Arabidopsis thaliana: one gene and its partners. The protein of the gene in region 3 interacts with the protein of the main gene of each other region in a pairwise test. Each region holds a gene or a part of one and is shown on either strand. Other genes may lie near its edges.

Region 1 (5,707 bases), on a different chromosome or scaffold from region 3:
GAAATTTTTGTAAATTGGTTAAAATCTACAAATAATCTAATTTATGAGTTTTTTTGCTGGTTAATGGAATACTGGAATAAATAGAAGAAATTAGAAGAGATGACAAAAATGGAGAAAATGGCTTCTCTGTCAGAGCTTCGTTTCCTCGTAACGATGCATCTGTAACCTAAACACATAATTCTATTTTTCTTTTTGTTTAATTTAGTTTGTTTCCCTGTCCGTTTTTCCATTTTTAAATTTGATTTTCCACAAATCTAATTTTTGCTGAATTAATGTAATGTTGCTCTATGGGATTAATCAAACAAGCATTGGACTACATATATTGACATGTTTTAAATGAGAACTGTAAATATGAACTAATTCCAATGACAAATCTTTTTCAAGCTGTGATGATGGAAACAAGTGATTGCTTCCAATGCAAGAAACTATATTGCCGAAATATAGTTTGAGTGTTTTTGGTAGAATTCAAGATTGATGTTGTTTATAGAAGCAAGCACGAGTGGCTTGGGAAGACATTGACCCGTTATTTTCTAGAAAAAGATGTGAGACACTGTTTTCGTCTGCCTTTGTCTCTTCTGGACACGAAAACCATATCAAATCACACAAGGGTGTACCAGACTTTATCGAGTGAGATTGAAGAGATCACGCCCTTGGTTGGCTTGGGATCATCTTTCTTAACTCTTTAAGTATAGATTGTATTTTTGACGTAATTTGAAAGAAGAAATGTGGCAATTTCTTACACTTTTTCTAAAGGGTATTTGTTTCATTAGGTATAATTTCTTCGTGCAAAAATAGAAAACTTTGTCTGTTAGTGTTAGGTTATTATAATGATGAAACACATTCACAAGACTTAAATGTATGGGTGACAACTAGTATGGATTCAGTCATCTCATGGAGCAAGTTCTCAACAGTGCAAACCATTAATCCGAGTTGGAATATGTTTGCTGATGGGATGAGTTTCTTGGTCGGCGAGCATAACAAAGTTGTATTGTGTTACCCTAACCGGACCCCCAACGAAATCTTACACATTGGGGAAGAAATTTATCACATACAACATTTGGATGATCATGATAGAGATTCTACCTCAAGATCATCTTTTCTTCTGAATTATGTTCCAAGTTTAGCTCGAATAAAGATTAGTATGAATCAATATTAGACAAGAAAGTATTCAGACAAGAGTGCGGTTGAGATTACACCGATTAAACACAAAACTGATGCAAAATCTGCAAACTTATTCGAAGAGCCAGAGAAGAAGTAGATCTTGTGGCTACTGCTCTCTCCTCTGAAGCCTCTAACAATCATGGCCTGCATGCACATAAATTACAAACTTCTTCAACAGAGAATTCTTATTTGATTCTCAAATCAATGAGATGATAATAAGTGAAATCTATTTGACCTGTGATATTTGTTCGGCATGACGAAATATATTCTTGAAGATGCGGCGTATGAATGACGCGAAAACTACAAAAAGCGATCACTTGTAAGATGAGATGTATATAGAAAGAGAGAAGAAACTTTTAGATTCTTACTATCAAGTGTCTCCAGAACAGTAAGCTGCTGCCAGTTTACTCTTCGCGATACAATTCCCAGTGAAACACTTCGGACCTACAATGTAACATATGCACAACGTACCATTATGTGGTTTAGGACTTGGAATAACTAGGCTGATTGATAATATTAAAGCGAATAAGTGAACAGTCGTTACCTCATCGAAAACCAAATTAATGAATCTCAGTGAAAGCAGTAGCGTGAGGATAATTTCACTGACTGGAACACCAATATATGTCAATGGGAACAAGAACCAACGTAGAGCTAGTGCAAGTTGCTCTGGTGTTGTTGTTGCAAGGCAAATACTAGCACTTTGGAAGATCTGTGACCAAAAACCAAATGTTCCATTAAGTGATCTAATCAAGAAAGGAAATAGGTAAACCGCGGAAGTCGAAAAACCGACTTACAATAAAGGTTAAGCATGCGGCTGTGCTTCCAACAGACAAACCTTTCCTTGTGAATTGCAAAGGACCAAGCTTCAGTAACATGTACGAATAACCGCTTAAAGACATGGGAAGATTAGGCAAGCTTGTGATTGAAGATGGTGGTGTTCTTGATTGAAGCATTGGAGGTGCACCATCTGAACCTAGCCCCAATGTTATGAAGAGAATACCCGAAAGAAGCGACACTCTCGCCAATTGATCCTTTACAGAAAAAGTTAGGAAACTCAGCAGAGCAGATAGATCACATATAGAAACAGAGTTGTGACAGAGAAACAGAACTCACTATCCAAACTTGTCTTGGGAGAACAAGGATTGACAAAAGAGCTGTGCATAGAACAAGTCCTAAACGCACAACTAGATTTGCTCTTGCTGGAAGAACTACTAGAGTTAATAGCCATACCTACACATATATACAAATACCAAAATTCAAGCTTTAACAAAAAAAAAAAGACTCAAACTTTTTAACAAAATTGGATTAGAAATTTGATAAGAATCAAGAATTCAATATACCAATTTGATTCTGGGATCCACCGAGTGGAGAAATGTCACAGGAGACGATATGAATTGTCCGATGGGACTTCCGGTGGCGCTTGAAATCAATCTGAAGACGTTTTCGGCTCCAAGTCCTGGAATTGGTAACCGGTTCACCCAATTACCGGTTTTACCGTCTCCGTCGACGGTGGCTCTGACAATGAAAACCCTTTTCGCGGCGAGAGAGGAGGAAGGAGTCTCATTAAGCCGGAGCGGGAAGAGAAGCTTAGGGTTTGTAAAGTTCCGGTTAGGAATTGGAGATGTGAGATGACGAATTGGGTGTTTGGGGATTAGGGTTACGGTGAGGGAGACTGTTGGATTGGCAAGATTGGAGTGATTCATGAGTTTTCAATTTCGGATTGGATCAGACATATGCCCTAGAGCGGGAAATTCTGTACTTGGTAGAGAGAGAGATACTGTAAACTGTCAAGTGTTAAACTGTTGTACTTGTTGGTTTTGTCGGACGTTGACTGTGGTTCTCAACTTCTCATAATAACAAAAGTCAAAGTATACCAAAATTTGGATTTCGGTTCTTGTTCGAATTTGATGTATATATAGACTCGTTTTGGATTTTCTCACACTCTTTTTGTATAAATCTTTTCTCGTAGAGTCATAGCCACACCAAAACCAAGATTAAGTAATTTGATACAATACAGCATATGAAAATGTAACTTAGCTTTTAAGATAGATAACATATTACTGCCTAGGAGCATTTTTGACAATTTTTGAGGTGATGGAAAAAGTTGGCTCGAGAGCTTTTTGAATATTCCAGGCGGTTCGGCCTAAGCTGCCCGTTGTTTCCAGTATTATTCCGGTGGTTTTTCCGGCTTTCTCTCCAAAACTTTGGTGCGGTCATCACAAAAATGTGAATATGTGTTACACTCAACTCAATAAATGTATAAAATTGTAAAATTCGATGGTCATGTAAACATGTTATATAACTCATCTAAACAATCCTAACAAATAAAAATGATAACCTATCTCTAAAAATCATTAGCTACCCCTCAAAACTATTTGGTAATTAATTATTAGATTGTATGCACGCTATACAATAATTCTACCAACTTCGATTTTATTTTCTACCGATATAATCATTCTTTTGATTCAAATACCGGTGTGTTACTATAGAAACATAATTCATTCTCAAAATTGAGGATCACAAAGTGAGCTTTTTACCTCTTACTCACAAGTCTAGTAGCAGCCATGGATGTGGCATAATGAGTTTGTATTTCTGCCGCTTCAGCAGCACCAATTATATTATCTATTGACCACATCAAAGTGTTTATCTGTTTTATTTAAATTTTGATCTCAAAAACTTCAAAATAAATGAATATGAGTATAGATTGACAATTAATGGAGCTATTCTATGTAACTTACGAAAAGAATCAAGTGATGCCAAGATAACCTCTCCTGGAGCAGTGGATAACAATGCCTTCCCTAACTTCGACTTAACCACCGGAGCTATCATCGAACTGCTCACCAAATCTCCACCTTCTAAGGCCGCCATTCCTATAGCCTCGCTCACCTTCCACAGCTTCTCCGCTCTATGTATATGTTACATCCAACAAAATAACCAAGATTTGGTTCATTATAAGAAGGAACAAGAACCAAGATTTTATTGTTTGGTATAATATATACTATTTTGTGGGATAGAGATTAAAATATGAATACCTTTGAAGATTTTTGTTGAGTTTATTCTTCTTATTAGTTTCATTGTTGCCACCTCCATCAATTTGTGATATGTCACCACTTCTTTCCTCATCCTCTTCAGCAATCGTTCCTTCCTCGTGAATCTGTTTTTGTTGTAAGAAAATAAAACGATATTAATAATAAAAAATACTACAATATGTGCGTCTTACATCTCCATGTTCATATAAAAGTTTTTAAAAATCCAACACAAAAATAAGATGATCTATACTAGTAAATAAAACACATAAGTCGTTCCACAAGTTGGGTTTGAATTGGAAGTTCATGATTCTTTACTACAACAAATATTTCGATTCAAATCACAATCATCTATTAACACTCATAAGCATCATGAGAGGGACTTATATGTATGAGACCTTCTTAGAGTAAGAATTGCTACAAGTGAAGATTCCCTTGATGATATGCCCTGTTCCTACCGCGATGGCCTTGGCTACACCATTTTTGTAGTCTTCAGCCTTCGGTGCAAACTTTTTCCAATCAATTTCATTGTTGTTCTTACCTGAAGTACTTGAAGATTTCTCCCCCATGATATCTCCAAGAAACTCAGGGTTTTCCATGATTTCTCCGTCTTCCCCTAAGAAACTCAAGGCTAGCTCCAACAGTTCGGATTTATCGACGATTTGGACTCCGTAATCGGGATTCTCCAACAAAACTTCTTCGTTCACCGCTTGGGCAGATTGGTTTTCTTGGGTTGATGTGGACATTGTGTCTTCTTTCTTAGTACAGTAGTACTTTTAAGTTTGGTTTATATGTGAGGCTCGTTCCTATATAATGTTGGATGATCGAAGGTAATGACGTAAACACTTACCATTTGATCATATTAATAACCAACAAAAATGTAAGACCATAAAATATGATCATATAGCTTGGTAGTGAAGAATAAGTAAAATTTTCTAGTTGTATAACTAGCAAGTTGTTTCAACAGAAGATGAGAGAATACCTTTTCTTAATATATGATTTCATCTATAGAAACAACTTCTAAATTTGACCATACGTGTTATGTTTTCCAAGACTTCATCAAGTTGCTTGTTTAACTGGTTTTTGTAGAGTTTACATTGGTGTTTTGTGATATCATTCTCCTAAGGTATGTTATACATAATCCCAAGTGTGTTATTCTTCTCTGATGAATTATATTCCCCCAAAATTGAGTTTTATATGTTTTGTTTCAATAGTTGACAAATAGAATTAGTTCTACGCAATCAAATCGTTCATATTATTTCCATCGACATTAACAGATTGAAATGTAATTAGGAAGAGGGCGTCAAATAAAAACTAATTGTTTTAATTTGACCAGTTTTTCATATTGTACTTATACCAAATCGGACTACTTGTGTAATTGGTTACACTAGTTTTGACATGTAATAAGTTGTATTAGTTTTCCTATAAAATATTAAAAAAATGTATTTGAACAAAGGTTAAATAAATATTGTCATCATCTCGAGAAGACATAATCAATACAGTCATTGTCATAAAACTTA
Region 2 (5,149 bases), on a different chromosome or scaffold from region 3:
TTTACTCCGGGTATAAAATACCTAACTTGTATTTTGGAAAATGTGATATATATTATATCTTTTGGTCTGTGACTGATGTTATTATTGGTTACAGCATGGACACACTAGCAAGAGCAAGATGATGATAGTTCAAGAGACTTCTACTGACCCAACAGCTTCATTTGTGCTTTATGCGCCTGTTGATATGACATCAATGGATATTACTCTCCATGGAGGTGGTGATCCTGACTTTGTGGTGATCCTGCCTTCTGGTTTTGCTATTTTTCCAGATGGTACGGGTAAGCCTGGAGGAAAAGAAGGAGGATCACTTTTGACCATTTCCTTCCAAATGCTGGTTGAGTCAGGTCCTGAGGCTAGGCTGAGTGTTAGCTCTGTTGCAACTACTGAGAATCTGATTCGTACAACCGTGCGGAGGATCAAAGATTTGTTTCCTTGTCAGACTGCTTGAACCACCCCCATTTCGGTAATCTATTGGAGAGCTTCAAAAGGGGAGGAGTCAAGAACGAACCTCAAGGAGATTGGTTTTTTACGAGGTTCGGGATTTGACTAGCCCTGGAATAAACCCATTCAAGATGGAAAAAACAACTATCTTTTCCTTTCATTTGAGTCTTTTGTTTCCTTGTCATTGTTTGGACTTGGAACCTTTTGCTATTTCAGTTGAGTCTTTGGTTTCCTTGTCATTGTTGGACTTGGAACCTTTTGTTATTTCATTCGAGTCTTTGGTTTCCTTGTCATTGTTGGACTTGGAAACCTTTTGTTATTTCAGTTGAGTCTGTTTGTTTCCTTGTCATTGTTGGACATGGAACCTTTCGTTGTTTCAGTTGAGTCTGTTTGTTTCCTTGTCATTGTTGGACTTGGAAACCTTTATGAAGTTATTGAGTACTCTTTTTCTCTATTTGAGTTTCAAATTTGTTTTTTGTTTTCTTTCTATTGACTTTAGATCTTCTTCTAGAGTATGGATATTTCTTTTGTATTGTTTTTGTTGTCTATTTCTGTAGTTTGGTTTATCAAAACTTCACACCTTTTCTTCCCAAGACTCTCTGTTTTGCAAGAGAGCTTAAAGAGTTTTTGGCTGTTGCGCGTTGCCTATGGTTTTAGATTGACCAAACCCAACAAGACTAAGAAATCTGTGCTGAACATGTAGACCTTTTGGGAATGGGAATCACAACGTGTGATTTGTCAAGACCCAACAATGTAGACCTTTTGGTGAAGTGAACTGTAAAATATTTTCAGTTTAACTTCATTTAATTTCAAACAAGAACACAGATGACATGATATTGCTAAAAAAACAGGAAGAATACATCACAAAGGTTCAAAATTTTCTGTTTGAAAAGCCAAATCCACCTATAGCAGAAATTCTCAGAGTCAAAAGATACACTTGCTGATCATCAAGTGTACCTCAAGCACGCTTTCTCCTGGCCAAAATAGCAGGTCTCTTGCCAACAGCTCCACCACTTTTGTTGGATTGAGAAAGAAGACCACGAAGAAGAGCTAGAATACCAACACCCATGAATGGCACATACATCATCAACAATTTCTCAGATGCCTTCCCTGATCCTATCATCTCTCCCAGTATAGCAGCCTAATAAGTAATGAATACTCAATATCAGATTCTTCATCACAAGGCATATTAGCAATGAATGCGGAAAGATTCACATTGCAGAACAATAAGTATAAGTTCGATAACGTTACTAATTCTAATAACCATGAAACTAGTCATTCAACATAGTAGAAACTCAAAATCTCTCTCCCTCATCAACATACAATGTTGTGATTTTAGGGAACCAAATGAAATCTTGAATCAAGCATTATACAAATTTCACTAGTCTGCTCCTAGTTCATACTTTGTAATGGTCCAGTTTCACAGACTTTAACATTGATCACCAATAATCATTTCTCCTATAATCTTCATTAATCTCAGATTTCAGATCCATAAATCAACAAAATCTTACTCTAAATCAAACACGTTATATCCAAATTGATCAGAAACAGCGAGATTAAGATCTAAATGTACCATAGAAGTCACGACGGAAGCTCCGTACACCATTGAGGTGGTACCAAACCACGATTTCCCAGCGAGAATTGCGTAGACGTTGACGATTGAGAGCGGCCAAAGAAGCAAAAGCTCATGCCAGACGAGTCCGACTAGGAAATGCGGCTTCTCTTTGACTAGATAATCTCCAAATTCATCAATGTACCAGCGATTCAGATCGACGATAAACGCCGGGAAGATATCGCCGGGAAGACTCGTTTGACCGTCGATAAGCGGCGCAATTACCGCCATGAGAGCAAAGTATAAGAAGAGAACCGCATCGATCAACTTGCAAAATGCTCCCATTTTTTTTCTTCTTCTCCTTCTTCAATGGATTTTGTTTTTCTCTCTGCTTTAATCTGTCGTTGACCGCGGAAACGAAGAGCCGGCTACTTAATAATTGGCCAAATCTAAATTAAAGCGAACCGGTTTAAACGGCTACCATTTTTCCGGTTTGATTCAGTGGTAAATTCGAACACTACCGGGCCTTAGGCCCATAATCTTCCTCGGAGGATGTATATAGTATCCAGAAAAAATAGTCACCCGAAGGACTACACTAATTAAGAGAGCCCATGATCTGTTACAAAATCTTAAGTTCTAAACATTTGAATAAGTTTCACATCCTCTACATAGTCTAGAAAAATGTGAACTCTACGGTTCTAATAACTTTCGACTCTTGAATTTGCAGATGTTTTATTTTTTATTTTTCAGGGAGTCTAAAGACATGATCATTTCAAAATTCCTTATCTCTCACGCCTTGGAGGAATCATATTCGTAAACACACTTGCAAGTTACAACCTTGCATTGCCTTAAGCAAATTCTTTAGCAAGGTACATTTCTTAGTGTTACGTTTTAGATCTTTTAAAATGTTGAGACTACTTGGTATTGAAACCATGACTCAGTTCACTTGTTCGTCTTGCAAGATGGTAGGGAAATTGTTTTGCATTTTTATCTCTATCTATGTAATAAATCTATGTACCTTTCTAAGTGTAATGTTATATCTGCAGTCATTAAACAAATTGTGTAACTCGTTATTATATATCTCACTGTGGAGTTTCGTGATCTTTCGACTGCGAATTCTCAGCTGAACTTTGGCCATCTTTGAGTTTCTTACTGCTCTTCTCCTTAAGCATCTCCTTAATCTCTGCTTCTCTCTTATCAACAACTTTGATCAAATCCTTGAAACTCACTGCTCTCAAACTTTTCCCTCTAGAAGAACCAGCCTCCTCGCTCCTCGCCTGTACTTCATCACTCTCTTCTGGTCTTAACCGTTGGTATTGCCAGAAAACTTTCCAGCAGAAGAGTGTGAGTGCAATGAACCAAACGACGCCACATATTAGGAAGAGTCCCCAGAAACTCTGTACCGATATTTGATAGTTTTCTGTATCTGAAATCTGCATTGTACATTCGTGGTCGTAGGTAAGCCATTTCTTGCGGATTTTCTCGAGTTTTCCTTCTTCAGCCAGTTGCAGGATCGCTGTCGACATGTCCACAGCTAGAGGAGAGTCTCTCTGGAACGCCTGCAAGAATCGAGATCCATTAAGCAAAGTTTTAACAGAGACTGATCTTAAAAAATTGAAGTTGGTTTTCACATACAAATCCCCAGCCTGTCCGAGTGAATTCCTGTCCAACTGTTCGAAACTTGCAGTTGCTGTTTGACAAGAGAGCTTTAATGTAAGGAAGCTCGTCGACAATGGCTGCCACGCCACCGCCTCTGGGACCACGTTGAAGAGCAGAGAGATATTCTTCTTCGTCTTTAAGCGGAATGATTCTTGATGGAGCTATGTTAAGTTCATTGACCAGAAATTTCCACGCAAAGGTACCATCTTGGACTCCAATGGGTTCGTTGCTTGCTATTAAAGTGTCCATTCCTTCTATCCGAGATGTTAGCTGTTGAACGGTGAGGATTGAAGTGAGACTGGCTGTGTAGCTTGAGTTGATGATTAGAACCACAAATAACCATACGAGTAGCACAAACCTTCCCAACGTGCTCACCGTATTCTCCCCTGAAGATCAACAAAGGAAGAAGAATAAAACACCTTGCGACCTTGGTAACAAAAGAAAAGAACCGAGAGTTTCTTCTCTTTGATGTTTTCGTATGATCTTAAATGTAATTGTGTGCATACTGTGAGAGAAGAACATTGTTGAGAAGCTAAACCTGCAATATTGAAGACGAGAAAGGAAGGGGGTAAAGCAAAGCTTTAGCACTTGAGCTTAAACTAATACATATGAGTTTTGTGTCGATTCAATAATTGTATGGAACTAACCAGAAGACTGTAATGATTTGACGCCTAGGAGGTCCGCGGAATTCTTCGTTAAATCGATGTTCAAGAATCCAGATGACGGCTCCAACAAAGAGAAAAAGGGCACCGGTCACAGCCCACATCTCTATAGTGAATGGCTTCAAGAAGGACCAAGGACTAGACTTGGCCCCCTTCACTGGAGCTACCACCACAAGCCCTGATTCTATAAATGGCTGCGTGAAATCTACAAACTTGGTTCTGTTTGTAATGATGGTAACATCCCCAACAGCTACATCGAAAATCTAGAGACATAAATAGAACAAAACATAAGTATACTGTTTCGTGTAATTGATTGAGTAAAATAGAAGAAGAAGTAGGACTCACATTTGCAGCAACTTCACTTATGAGATTGTCATATGAAGGATTTTTCTTCCCGTCCCCATATAGTATATAAGTACGTGGAACGGGATATGGAAGCAATTGAATCGCAGCTTCAAAGATGTCGATGCAAAAGCCTTTAACACCAAGCGGGTTCTTGTCCTTAGAAGCATAGTTTTTGTAGCTTACACGGTTAGGCACCCCGATTTTCAGCGGCTTTCCATTTTCAGGGAAAACCCAACCCCGAGGTGGCTTTATTACTTCCCCTGGCCATATGATCTCATTAAGACGTTGGTCTTTTGCAGATGTGTTTGAAGGCTTAGAGTATAATGTCTCTGGAGGCGCGACTGAGAAACCTGTATGATTCGACCAGTATCCAACTCTCAGTGGACCTGTACTTTTTATGTTCAGAATGTCGTAGGCTGGATTAATCCGGTTTTTCTCTGAATTAAACTCGATTTGTCCAGTCAGACCTGTATAATTCATCTCAAGAATG
Region 3 (5,818 bases):
GAGTCTAATGCATACACCTGCACAGAAGTTGAAACTTTCATACTTCAACCCGAGTTTTTGTTTGTATGTTTTAATGTGAAAAATGCTAAAATCTTACTTCTGATATAGATTCAAGCTTCTTGCCTTCGTAAGCTCCTAAACCACGAGCATCAAGGAAGCTATACTCCGGAACTATATAGCTGCGAAAACCAAGTGAACATAAAACATTCAGCGTACCATCACAAAGATTAGATTCCACAGCTAAAACCTCACTAAAGAGTAAGAAGACTAATGGACGATTTTACCTGCGACTAATTCCATTGATGGCGGCGATGATTTCAGCAGCCTGATAAGCTCTCTGTGTTATGGAAGGCCAGAGCCAACAGTTTCGGTCACAAGCTCCCATTGCTTTTAACTGTAACGCAGCTCTCAGAGTCTGCTTCTTACCTTTCTCTGATAATCCGCTATCTACCGATGTTTTGGCAACCGGGTTTGTGTTGATTATCCCTAAGCTTTCGTAATCTGATTCCCCAGCTCTCACAAGGTAATAACTTGATCCAAGAAAAAACAACAACCAAAAACACATTGTGTATTATTAGCTCCATTTTCTAAGATAACCAGGCTAAATAACTCCGGAAACGAATCAAGAACAAGAATCAAAATGTTAAAAGTCAGAGATTCACTCTTAACAGTTCAATGTGAAGAATTTGGAATCTCACTAATCTACTAAAGCTTTACAAGATCCTTTAAACTTAGTTCCAATCAAAAGGACGAAGATACGTATACATTGATGCACATCTGGTTGTATGCACAGAAACTCAAAACTAGGGTTTTGAAAAAGTAAATTACCGATTAGAGAGCCGGAGAGGCGGCATTTGAAAGAGACCGCGTGCGTTAGCTGGTGCGGCGATGGAGACGGAGAGTGATGGTGTGGCAATACATACGGAGAGAGTTTTGAAAAGGTCTCGGCGGGTAATATGCGGCGAGGAAAGTAAATTCAGAGGAATTTGGTAGGTTTCCGGCGACGGAGGAGGATGTAAGTGTGAGGCGGTGGTGACCGCCGGTGATGATGATAACATAATTCAATCGTCATCTCAAACGGTATCTCTGGTCCTCCGTGTTTTAAGGTTACAAAACCACAATTGTGAATCGCACATTCCGGTTTAGATTATGGGTTCGTTTTTAAAATCGAATCAGCTAAACCGGTAACTTTCTCGGAAATATTCTTAACCGGTCAGGACCAAAAAAAAAACCTAAAACAAGAGAGAAACTCTGTTTATTACTCTGCTCTTAAGAGGACAAATTTGTTTCTTTCCTTACAGTTTCCAAAAAAGAAAATGTTATAAAAGTAATCTAATAAACTTCGATTAAAACTAAAATTGTAACAACGTACATAGATTCAACTTGCGAAAGTTACAATCATTTCCAAAAAAAAAAACTGAAAACCCATTTCTTCATACACAAGAAACTTCATAACTTAAGGGTTCCACTTGTTCATTTTTTTTCTACATAGGCTTACACAAAATAATAGTAATAAGAACTTCACCTCACTTCTGATTCTATCTTAACCTATCGATGAAGCACCGTAGACGATGAAATAGCTGAAACTATCAAGCCTGGCCAAGTTCGATTCCAGCATTCGAATAGCGCTTTTCTTTATCTTCATCGTCATCGTTCCAGTTAGTTGTTTTATAGTAAGTTATGTATATTATAAGCTGGATTATTCCTGATAGCGATCCAAGACCATTTGGAATCTGTTTTCATGCATGGAAGATAATTAGTCCTTTTTGAGATGTAGGGATTTGAGTTCCAAACAATAAAGATATATATGAGGGTTTACCAAAATATAAGGGTCAAATTTAAGACATGCATAAATGACCCAAACGACACCGTTCATGAAGTTGGCTAATGATAGGAAGAACGGCATGTATTTCACGCTCTTTGTCTTTATCACAAGTTTCTGTTCCACATTATAACTAAACTCATTAAATGGAAATTCACGAGATAAAGAGAACAAAAGAAAAAAGTTGATAGTGTAGTATCCAATTTTTGCATTTCCGTGATTAGTTTAGAAAGAAGAGGCATCATACCATGACGGTGAGAGGAGCAGCATACATGATGACGTTGAAAACAATGCACAAGATCCCAATAAGCATTGATCTCTGCTTTGTTGTATGCAAAAAATACATTGTGCAGAAGATCACCACCGCCATGAATATTACCTCGATAACCATAGCTATTGTGATCTTTCTCTGTACACATATATATATATCATAACTTCACATATCAAAATCTATATCGATCTACATTTGAAGTAACAAACTAAAACAAACATCAACCACTAATTCACTAATTTTCAATTGGTTTAAAGGCTATCAAACCTATGTCTGAAAAGTTTATATAAATTGAATAATTTAGAATGCATATACATATTTTTATCATTCGTGTTGAAATTAGAGGTTTTAAAGGCTTACGCGGACAGGGGAGGTAGCGAAGACAAAGAAGATGGTGACGTAAACGAGTTCCATGAAAAGACCAGTTCCATTAATGGTGATGACGAGGAGACTGTCGGGCTGGACGAAAGGAAGTCCGTAAAATGTCCACATCATGCAGTTTAAAACCGTAGCTACGTATGGATCTGGCTTAAACTCGGAGACCGATTTCATCTTCCATATCTTCACCATCGTTGGTCTGCACAATTTTCACATATGTCATTGCATGCAACAAAACAAAAAAAGATTTAATCATCATGTGTGCTTACATTGGAGCGCAGAACAAGCCGAAAGAAATCACGTTTCCTAAACATATAACAGACAAACAAAGACATGAGCAAATGTTTTTGTTGTTGATTGAATTAAACTTTATGTTTGAGTAAATTGTGGAGGACTTACCAACGATTCCGACGATCGTCCGGGCGGTGTGGGGGTCCGTCATTTTTCTTTGTTTCTAAAGAAGAATTCTTTATCTTCTACAGATTTTATCAAAGAACTAATTTATATTTTATAAAAATAAAAGAAGAAGAGAAACAAAATATGTTGATGATTTCGATTCTTCTTTTCGATGATTCTTGTTTATAATTTTTTTCTTTAGTACTGCGTTTCTTTTTTGTTTGTTTCTGATTTGTGATGTGAGTTTTGTTTGTTTGATGAAATAGCTTTTTTTTTTTTGGTGTGGTTTCTAGGTTCTGTTTTTGGTTTTTTGATATTTGGATTATTTTTGGTTTCTGCTTTATGAACAGAGAAAAAAGAAAAAGTGGATTTTAATAGTGAGTCTGTGAATCAGCAGAATCTGGGTAGAGTAACAAACGCATGACACGTGGTTTCAAATTTGAGCCATGAAGCCGTTGACTCCGCTCGTACCCCATGCATGAGAAACACCCGGCTCTTCACTCACATTAATACCTCTGTCTCTCTCTCTCTCTCTCTTTCTCTTTCTCAAACATAATTACATTTACTATTACTACATCTTCATTATGTATAAAGAGTTTGTTGTCTCATATTCATGTCATAGTAAATGTTGTGTAGAGCATCTTGTATAGTATATACAATAATACAAAGCAAGTGAATATGTGCTGTAACCAAAAACTTTGTTAATAGCAACTTGTATTGATGAATAAAGAGAAGAGATTTTAGTTTTACTCTCTTTTTAGGTTTACTATGTAAACACTTTGCTATATATGAATCACTTAATATTCCTTTCTCATCAAGCTACGAAACTGCAAACGAATTGAATCAAGATGAAGAGAAACAGAACACACAAGCCTCAGGTTTCAGTGTGAGGCGCATCAATCGAAAATACTAAATTAATCTCTCATTGTTTCTTAATGTTTTCCCTTTAAATGTAGGTCGGTTAAGACTTGAGATCTAAAACCTAATGGGACATGAAACTGGGCTGCTTAGCTTATAAACTCTTTTGTATTGCCAATATATAGAAAATATCCAAAAAAACAAATGTCATAAACCCCCAAAAAATGTCAAAAACCAAAAATATATATGTGTTTTTCTTCGTTCAAGTTTAATGAAATAGAAAACTGACACCATGAAGAGAGGACGCCAAGAGAAGAAGACCTCACGATCTCCAAAACGACGACAACAACGTCAGAACGAAATCTCCGAGAGAGAAAATTCAAACGGTATACATATCCCTTTCGATGTAATAACCGATATACTCTCGAGACTCCCTGTTAAGTCACTTGTGAGGTTCCAATGTGTATCGAAGCTGTGGTCATCTCGTATCACCCTCTTGATCATGACTCGGTCATTATTCTCGCCCTCTACTTATCCTACTAATGATATATCATTCATATACCCAGACAAAGACAGTAATTATACATTAAACCATGGGCGAAGTTGGGATTTTAAGTATCAATAATTTTCGAGGACTCTTCTGTTGTTGGTCAAGCTCGATCTATAAACATACCAATAGGAAAACGATTTTATTACCGGAGGTAAAACACGATAGATGGAGCAACTCGTGTGATGGATTGTTCGGATATGATCCAGTTGAGAAACAAGTTTTCACATTAGTGGGAGGTCCAATGAAGCAGCAATGGAGGAGCCTTGACATCCAAGGCATTTGGAATCACTCTCCAGAAGCTAGGAGTAGTGGTTTATGTATCAAAGAGTTTATCTATTACATAGCACATGTAGAAAGCTGGGATGATCCCGAATTCTATGAGCTAGTGAGGTTCGACGTTAGACACGAAAGCTTTGATCGTATTCAGATGCCCATAACTCTGCAGATGAATCAGCAGCTCAGTGAAGTGAGTTTCGATGAATTGACTTTGGTAAACTACCAAGGAAAATTAGGATGCATACGTTACACCAAAGCTAGTGCAGAGATGTGGATTATGGAAGATCATATTGAGCAACAAGAATGGTCTAAGATGATGATATTTGAGAAATTAGGTATTGCATCGCTGGTGTCAGTCCTAATGGTGAGATTGTGATAATGCCAAAGACAGTGACATCTGCTCAATCTTTGTACCCCTCGTACTATGATCCGAAATGTTAGTTTGTTGTACCCGCCGGATCACATTTGTTCAACTCGTTCCCTTAGTGAATAGTAGTTTTTATAATAAATATCAATTTTGTTTTATCAAGTGTATTCCTAAAAACATTGTTAGGAAAGTAACTATCTTATAACGGATTCTAGCTCAAGATATTTATTTTTTCTAAGACTCGTTTTCACCAGCCTAAGAAATTGTTTAACACTTTTTATGATTCTCAATCGTGTTGATCGATAATTGAGTTTCTAAGGTTTTAATATTTACAGCCATGATTCGTAAAAGTGTCAAGTGTGCATATAATAACATAGAAAAAATAACAATTTCTTAATTTATATTACAAGTGTCAAGTGTGCATATAATAAATAGGACCAATCATAATCCTTTACAGCTAAAACTTGAATCAAGTTATATTATCATCACGAGTCTTTTGACCCAAGAAAAAACTTCTCTGAGTTTCGGCCCATGGAACTTTCGCAGTCGGACCCAACCCGAGATCCTGATACCCGGTACGATCAACGTTGCTGTTGTTTCCCCAGCTTCCGCCGATCAAGAAGCTCCACCGCCGTTGGTTACTCCTCCTGGGGACGAATTCGAACCGTCGATGACAGTAATCACAGCGGCGACCACGGCGACGAGCCACGTTGGTGGATCCGAGCATCCTTGAAGATCCGAGAGTGGTCAGAAATCGTTGCTGGTCCACGGTGGAAGACTTTCATTCGTCGATTCAATCGCGATCCACGACGCGGCCGCGATTGGGACGCAAGCGAGAAGTTTCAATACGATCCTTTGAGTTACTCTTTGAACTTCGATGACGACGACGAGGAGGATGAA
Region 4 (4,619 bases), on a different chromosome or scaffold from region 3:
GCTTTCTCTTTCTCTCTACAAAGATATTAAATTTTGTGGTTCAGCTAGTTGTTACTAGGTTCTTGGTTGTTATTAGATTCTTAGATTAGCGATTTTGTGTTTTTTTTTCAGGTCTGCTTACATTTTGAAACAAGAAAGCCTTCCTTCATCGTACAAGTCTTTCCTTAACAAACAAGGTGGGAAGGATCTTTCAATCTTACAAGGCGTAAAAGATATCGCAACCGCGCAACCGTTCACTAATTTAAGAGCGATTGAGAAATATTACAAGTCTGTTGGAGTTGATATCAAACTGGATCCTACCATGAAAGTCCCCTGTACGGTAAGTTTTCTATGATACTATCTTTTTTGGGTTGTTAAGACGAACAAAGCATTTGTCGATAGTTGATGTATCGTCAATGAGTCTGCATGCATGGTTTTACGCAATACTTATGTTGTTACTTGCAGATAATACATGGAAATGAGTCATGTGTTAAGCATGGTGTTACATTTTTCCTTCAAGCTTACAAGAGGGCGTTACCTGTCTATGTCCCTGTGTATTTGATTCCAGCGCTAATAGTCCATCGTCAAGACCTGCTAAAAAAGTAATAGGTTTATGTCTAAACTGCTCATTGAATGGTATATATCCTCTGATTTTATTCATCACCTCATAATATGTTTCATCACAGGCAATACTCTATACTTGGCAAGGGTCTTCTGGGCACAGCGAGATCAAGTTTGTTTCTCGCTACTTACTGCTCTTCTGCCTGGTTAGAATCAATTCTTGGAAGGCTCTTATCGATTTTTGTTTTGTTCTCACTTGAAGTTGGAACTTAGACCATCTCTATAATGATGTAAAATAGGGCTTGGACTTGTCTACTATTCCGCACTTTTGAGACATGCAACATACCGCTTGTGGCCATAGCAACAGTACAAACGAAAGCCATTCTCATCACATATCATTGTTAATATAATACCTAACGTTAGGCTTCTCCTGCAGTTCCCAACAGGTCTGGCTTTAGCTATTGAGAAGAAAAGCAGAAGGATAGAGATATCACTATACTGCTTAGCGAGGGCGATAGAGAGCTTCTTTACTTGCATGACAGAGGCAGGATACATTCGACCGCCCAAGAGTTTAAGAAGAGCGGATGTGGTTGTGTTCAGCGTTTCGACAGCCATTATAATGCATTGTTACGCACAAGAAAGAGACGTATTTCGATCAAAATACTTGAACGTACTAGATTGGGTCTTCGGTGTTCCTCCTCCCCCTCCTGCTCCTTCTTGCGAAACAACCTAGAGACATTCACTTTTAACCTAAAGATCTTTCTGATGTGGGACAGAATTTGGTGGTAGAATGCTCATTTAGAGTCTCTAGGAGTTTTGTTTTGGGTCAATTTTGTATACCACAATCCATTTGACAATTTTTGTCCATCTTATGTGGACACACCAATATGTAATCTGGTAGTCTTACATGTTCTACAAAGTTAAAATAAAACGAAGCTAAATATTTTGTTAATCAACAACACTAAACCATAAAAAAGATGGACCAAGTAAATACAATATGGCTTCAATAATTTGATACGAACATCCACCACCTATACACTGCATATCCATAGACCGTGCCGTATAAAACCATCCTCATAGGGTACACTCTAAACCTGCATTACTTGGTCCAAAGATGTATCCATTATCCATTAATTAGGCCAGTAAACCAAACCAAAATTTGGATCTAACAATTAAAATCAATAGAAAATATTCACGAAAATAAACAAATTCAATCATAACTTGTACACCTAATTCGTAGATATACAATAATACATACATTGCAAATGGAACCTAACATTGTATGTATGGTTTGAGATTCGCTCTTTTGAATCCAAATTAATATCGGTTGACAAAAAAAAAATTGTATGTATGATTTATGTTTATCCAATAGGTTTTAAGGCAATAAAGCTAAACCAAAATTTAGATCTAATAATTCAAAGATTAATATATAATGATATGATAAAACAACTAGTTTGATATTGAGATAAGATAAACAAGTAACCTTGAAGGATGAGATTTGCGGGCGAGAGCGGCTGATCTTTCCTCGGCGGTGACAGGATAGCCCCACCGAGAGAAACTCCGATCAAAGAAGTCCCAATCCGGCAAAAGTATGCCGCCAATAAGAGAAATACCGACGGCGTAAGTAACAACCGTCTTCTTTAAAGACTGTGTCCATAACCATACAACTACCATCACCACTGCAAGACCTACCATTGATGATCTTAGTGCTGCTTCGTTTCCCATTATGGCTAAGAGAGAGTAGATAGCTTATATTTAAAACGGGATTAGTTGAAGTTGCTTTATAACAGTGTAAACATGGAAAGAAGATTCACAGATTATGTAGGATGTAGGAGAAAGATTTCATTTATGTGTTAAAGATAATATTTAATGGATTTTTTTATATAGGGTATATTCTTTTGGAAAAATGCGTGGCAATCAATTGAATTGAATGCCGCCATAAATGTGGTAATGTCCCAACCGTATTTTTGGATCCAAGTTTTTGTGTTTGTTCAGTTTTATCTTTATTTATGGTTTTGATCATAGAGTAATTAGAATTATACCGAAAAATTAGGAAAAAAAAGATAAATTTTGGAATGACAAGAAGGAATTCACAAACTTTTCTTTATTTTTAATTTTTTGTAGTGTAAATGTAAAAACGGATAATTTGGTATGAAAGAATTATACCGAATTGCATCATACCATATATATAAACAATATCTCTCGGATTAACTCTTTGAATTCTAATTAATATCGGTTGCCAAAAAAAATTTGTAGAATAAAATGACATAATCATCAAGCGGGACAGAAATTATTTTTAACTTTCACAAGCATAAGATTATATGAGTACGTTGTACTTTAAACATAAGACAACAAAAAAATCTTATCATATTTTTGAGGTAAAAAAAATTATAAAATTGACCAAACAATGTGTTATACATATGAAATTTACTATTTATTATTTATTTGTTATCTCATTTAATATTATGTTATAATTTTAAATTGATAAACTTAAATTTTGAATCCTCAATATTTAATTAACTTTACCAATCAAACTCTACATCTACAACCAACACATGTAATCATACAACAAAAAGTTTATAGCTACTGCCGAACAACAGTAAAAAGGAAAGTTACTACTCAACCAAACACCCACATAATTGGTTACTAACATAAATTTTGTTTTGATAGTTGGCATCGTTAGTAATAACCTCAAACTTTTCTTTTCTTTTCGCCAAAAAGTAATAACCTCAAACTACGAATGTCGTTTTGTAAATGAAGATTTCTAATTTTTTCCTATAAATGTGAAAACAAAGTAAATACTCTTTTTCATTGATAGTATATTAGTATCTAAAGCATTAATCTTACAAAGGTTGTTAGATCTATATAAATTCAGAAACAATTTTTTAAAATCCGAAGCCACAAAACTACGCATTGACAAAGGACAAGTTTAAGTCCCTTGGTAGAAACAAATGACGTCGACTATTTCTATTGTTAAATAGCGACGAGATTAAGCCCTCATATATATGCGGCTAAATAGCAACACCATGTTTCTTTTACACATGTTTTTCTATGAACTTGCTACAAAAGTTCATGAGAAAGTGTGGTCACATCTTAATAATATCTATTCCTCGGTAACTATTTTAGTCTATATCTACTAACCAATATTTGAATATTTTCTCAGTAACAAAGTAAAATATAATACTGATTCCCCCAATGGTACTGTGATGCCACATTGCTAAACACTCAATTAAGTTTGGTTTTGATACCCCTTATAACATCATGATCGCCAATGTTTATTTACCATCAATTACAGTTTTGACCTACAAATCTCATCCTCGTTATTCGACCAGTGCACTTCTACATGTAAGGTTGATAGACTTGTTTACTAGTCTTGTTGATCATCACAAGATATTTTTATGTGTTTTGTGAATTCTTGCACAATACTAAAAATCACAATCTTTATATTGCTTCGCGTGTGGGATCAAACCTAACGATAAGATCAAGAAATTTGTTCCAAACCTCTCGTAAAGACACAAACAAGACACAATGAGAACTCTGGAAGCTCTACACTAGCTAGGAATCTGAGTTTGTAAGAACAACAGATCATCATATTTTTTGAAAATCATTTAAGTCGACTAGACCTGGGTAATAATATCACTTAATCCCTTCTCAATTATTTTGGATGCATCTTCAACATTTTGTTTTTGATAAATTCGAATCATATATGCAGAAAAAACAATTTAAATACAAATGATAAGATGATTTAGCTCTTAAAAATGACCAAAGAAACAAACAAAGATGAGAAGAAGAAATTTTGATTCTCATTATATCTTTTTAATTAAAAAATAAAATTTTATTTAGTAATGCATAATGTTTTACAAAAATATATTGGGTGGCTTTTAATTTTTGAGGAATACTGAGGAACTATCACCTAATTAATTTTGTATAAATAATTTATCAAGTAATTAAAAAACATTATTCTACGGAACCATTGAATATTTGAAATTTAGTATCTTTTATTTATTATTACTATATTTCCATTAAAATTTATTTTTTATTATACTCTAGATTTAAAGCTATATGTGTTATACATTAGC

Evidence for each region.
Region 1: the proteins of AtVEX1 (region 3) and ABCI12 interact in a protein complementation assay, tested with the Arabidopsis thaliana proteins (one large-scale study listed by BioGRID).
Region 2: the proteins of AtVEX1 (region 3) and AT2G32380 interact in a protein complementation assay, tested with the Arabidopsis thaliana proteins (one large-scale study listed by BioGRID).
Region 4: the proteins of AtVEX1 (region 3) and AT1G34640 interact in a protein complementation assay, tested with the Arabidopsis thaliana proteins (one large-scale study listed by BioGRID).

Annotation. Positions count from the first base shown.
Region 1 is NC_003074.8:7,600,857-7,606,563, forward strand, and holds ABCI12 (cobalt ion transmembrane transporter), read right to left. Parts: upstream 3,044-5,707; 5' UTR 2,865-3,043; coding exon 2,502-2,864; intron 2,392-2,501; coding exon 2,275-2,391; intron 2,193-2,274; coding exon 1,956-2,192; intron 1,871-1,955; coding exon 1,706-1,870; intron 1,606-1,705; coding exon 1,530-1,605; intron 1,462-1,529; coding exon 1,397-1,461; intron 1,306-1,396; coding exon 1,153-1,305; 3' UTR 966-1,152; downstream 1-965. Other genes in the region: AT3G21590 (Senescence/dehydration-associated protein-like protein), read right to left, coding at 3,695-3,783, 3,900-4,066, 4,194-4,315, 4,586-4,659, 4,729-4,933.
Region 2 is NC_003071.7:13,745,393-13,750,541, forward strand, and holds AT2G32380 (Transmembrane protein 97, Putative), read right to left. Parts: upstream 2,419-5,149; 5' UTR 2,339-2,418; coding exon 2,015-2,338; intron 1,583-2,014; coding exon 1,400-1,582; 3' UTR 1,174-1,399; downstream 1-1,173. Other genes in the region: HDG3 (homeodomain GLABROUS 3), read left to right, coding at 1-10, 95-448; GLR3.5 (glutamate receptor 3.5), read right to left, coding at 3,076-3,552, 3,629-4,038, 4,159-4,190, 4,300-4,577, 4,660-5,149.
Region 3 is NC_003076.8:25,228,615-25,234,432, forward strand, and holds AtVEX1 (Nodulin MtN3 family protein), read right to left. Parts: upstream 3,231-5,818; 5' UTR 2,914-3,230; coding exon 2,871-2,913; intron 2,778-2,870; coding exon 2,741-2,777; intron 2,671-2,740; coding exon 2,454-2,670; intron 2,232-2,453; coding exon 2,070-2,231; intron 2,054-2,069; exon of another isoform or gene 1,954-2,053; intron 1,940-1,953; coding exon 1,820-1,939; coding exon of another isoform or gene 1,757-1,819; exon of another isoform or gene 1,734-1,756; coding exon 1,590-1,733; 3' UTR 1,324-1,589; downstream 1-1,323. Other genes in the region: AT5G62840 (Phosphoglycerate mutase family protein), read right to left, coding at 1-17, 98-179, 285-530, 829-1,058; AT5G62860 (F-box associated ubiquitination effector family protein), read left to right, coding at 4,018-4,173, 4,427-4,927; AT5G62865 (uncharacterized protein), read left to right, coding at 5,450-5,818. UniProt on the Arabidopsis thaliana protein: Mediates both low-affinity uptake and efflux of sugar across the plasma membrane. May play roles in nurturing the male gametophyte.
Region 4 is NC_003070.9:12,686,163-12,690,781, forward strand, and holds AT1G34640 (peptidase), read right to left. Parts: upstream 2,382-4,619; 5' UTR 2,266-2,381; coding exon 2,024-2,265; intron 1,635-2,023; coding exon 1,544-1,634; 3' UTR 1,390-1,543; downstream 1-1,389. Other genes in the region: AT1G34630 (uncharacterized protein), read left to right, coding at 112-319, 445-581, 666-746, 840-906, 977-1,273.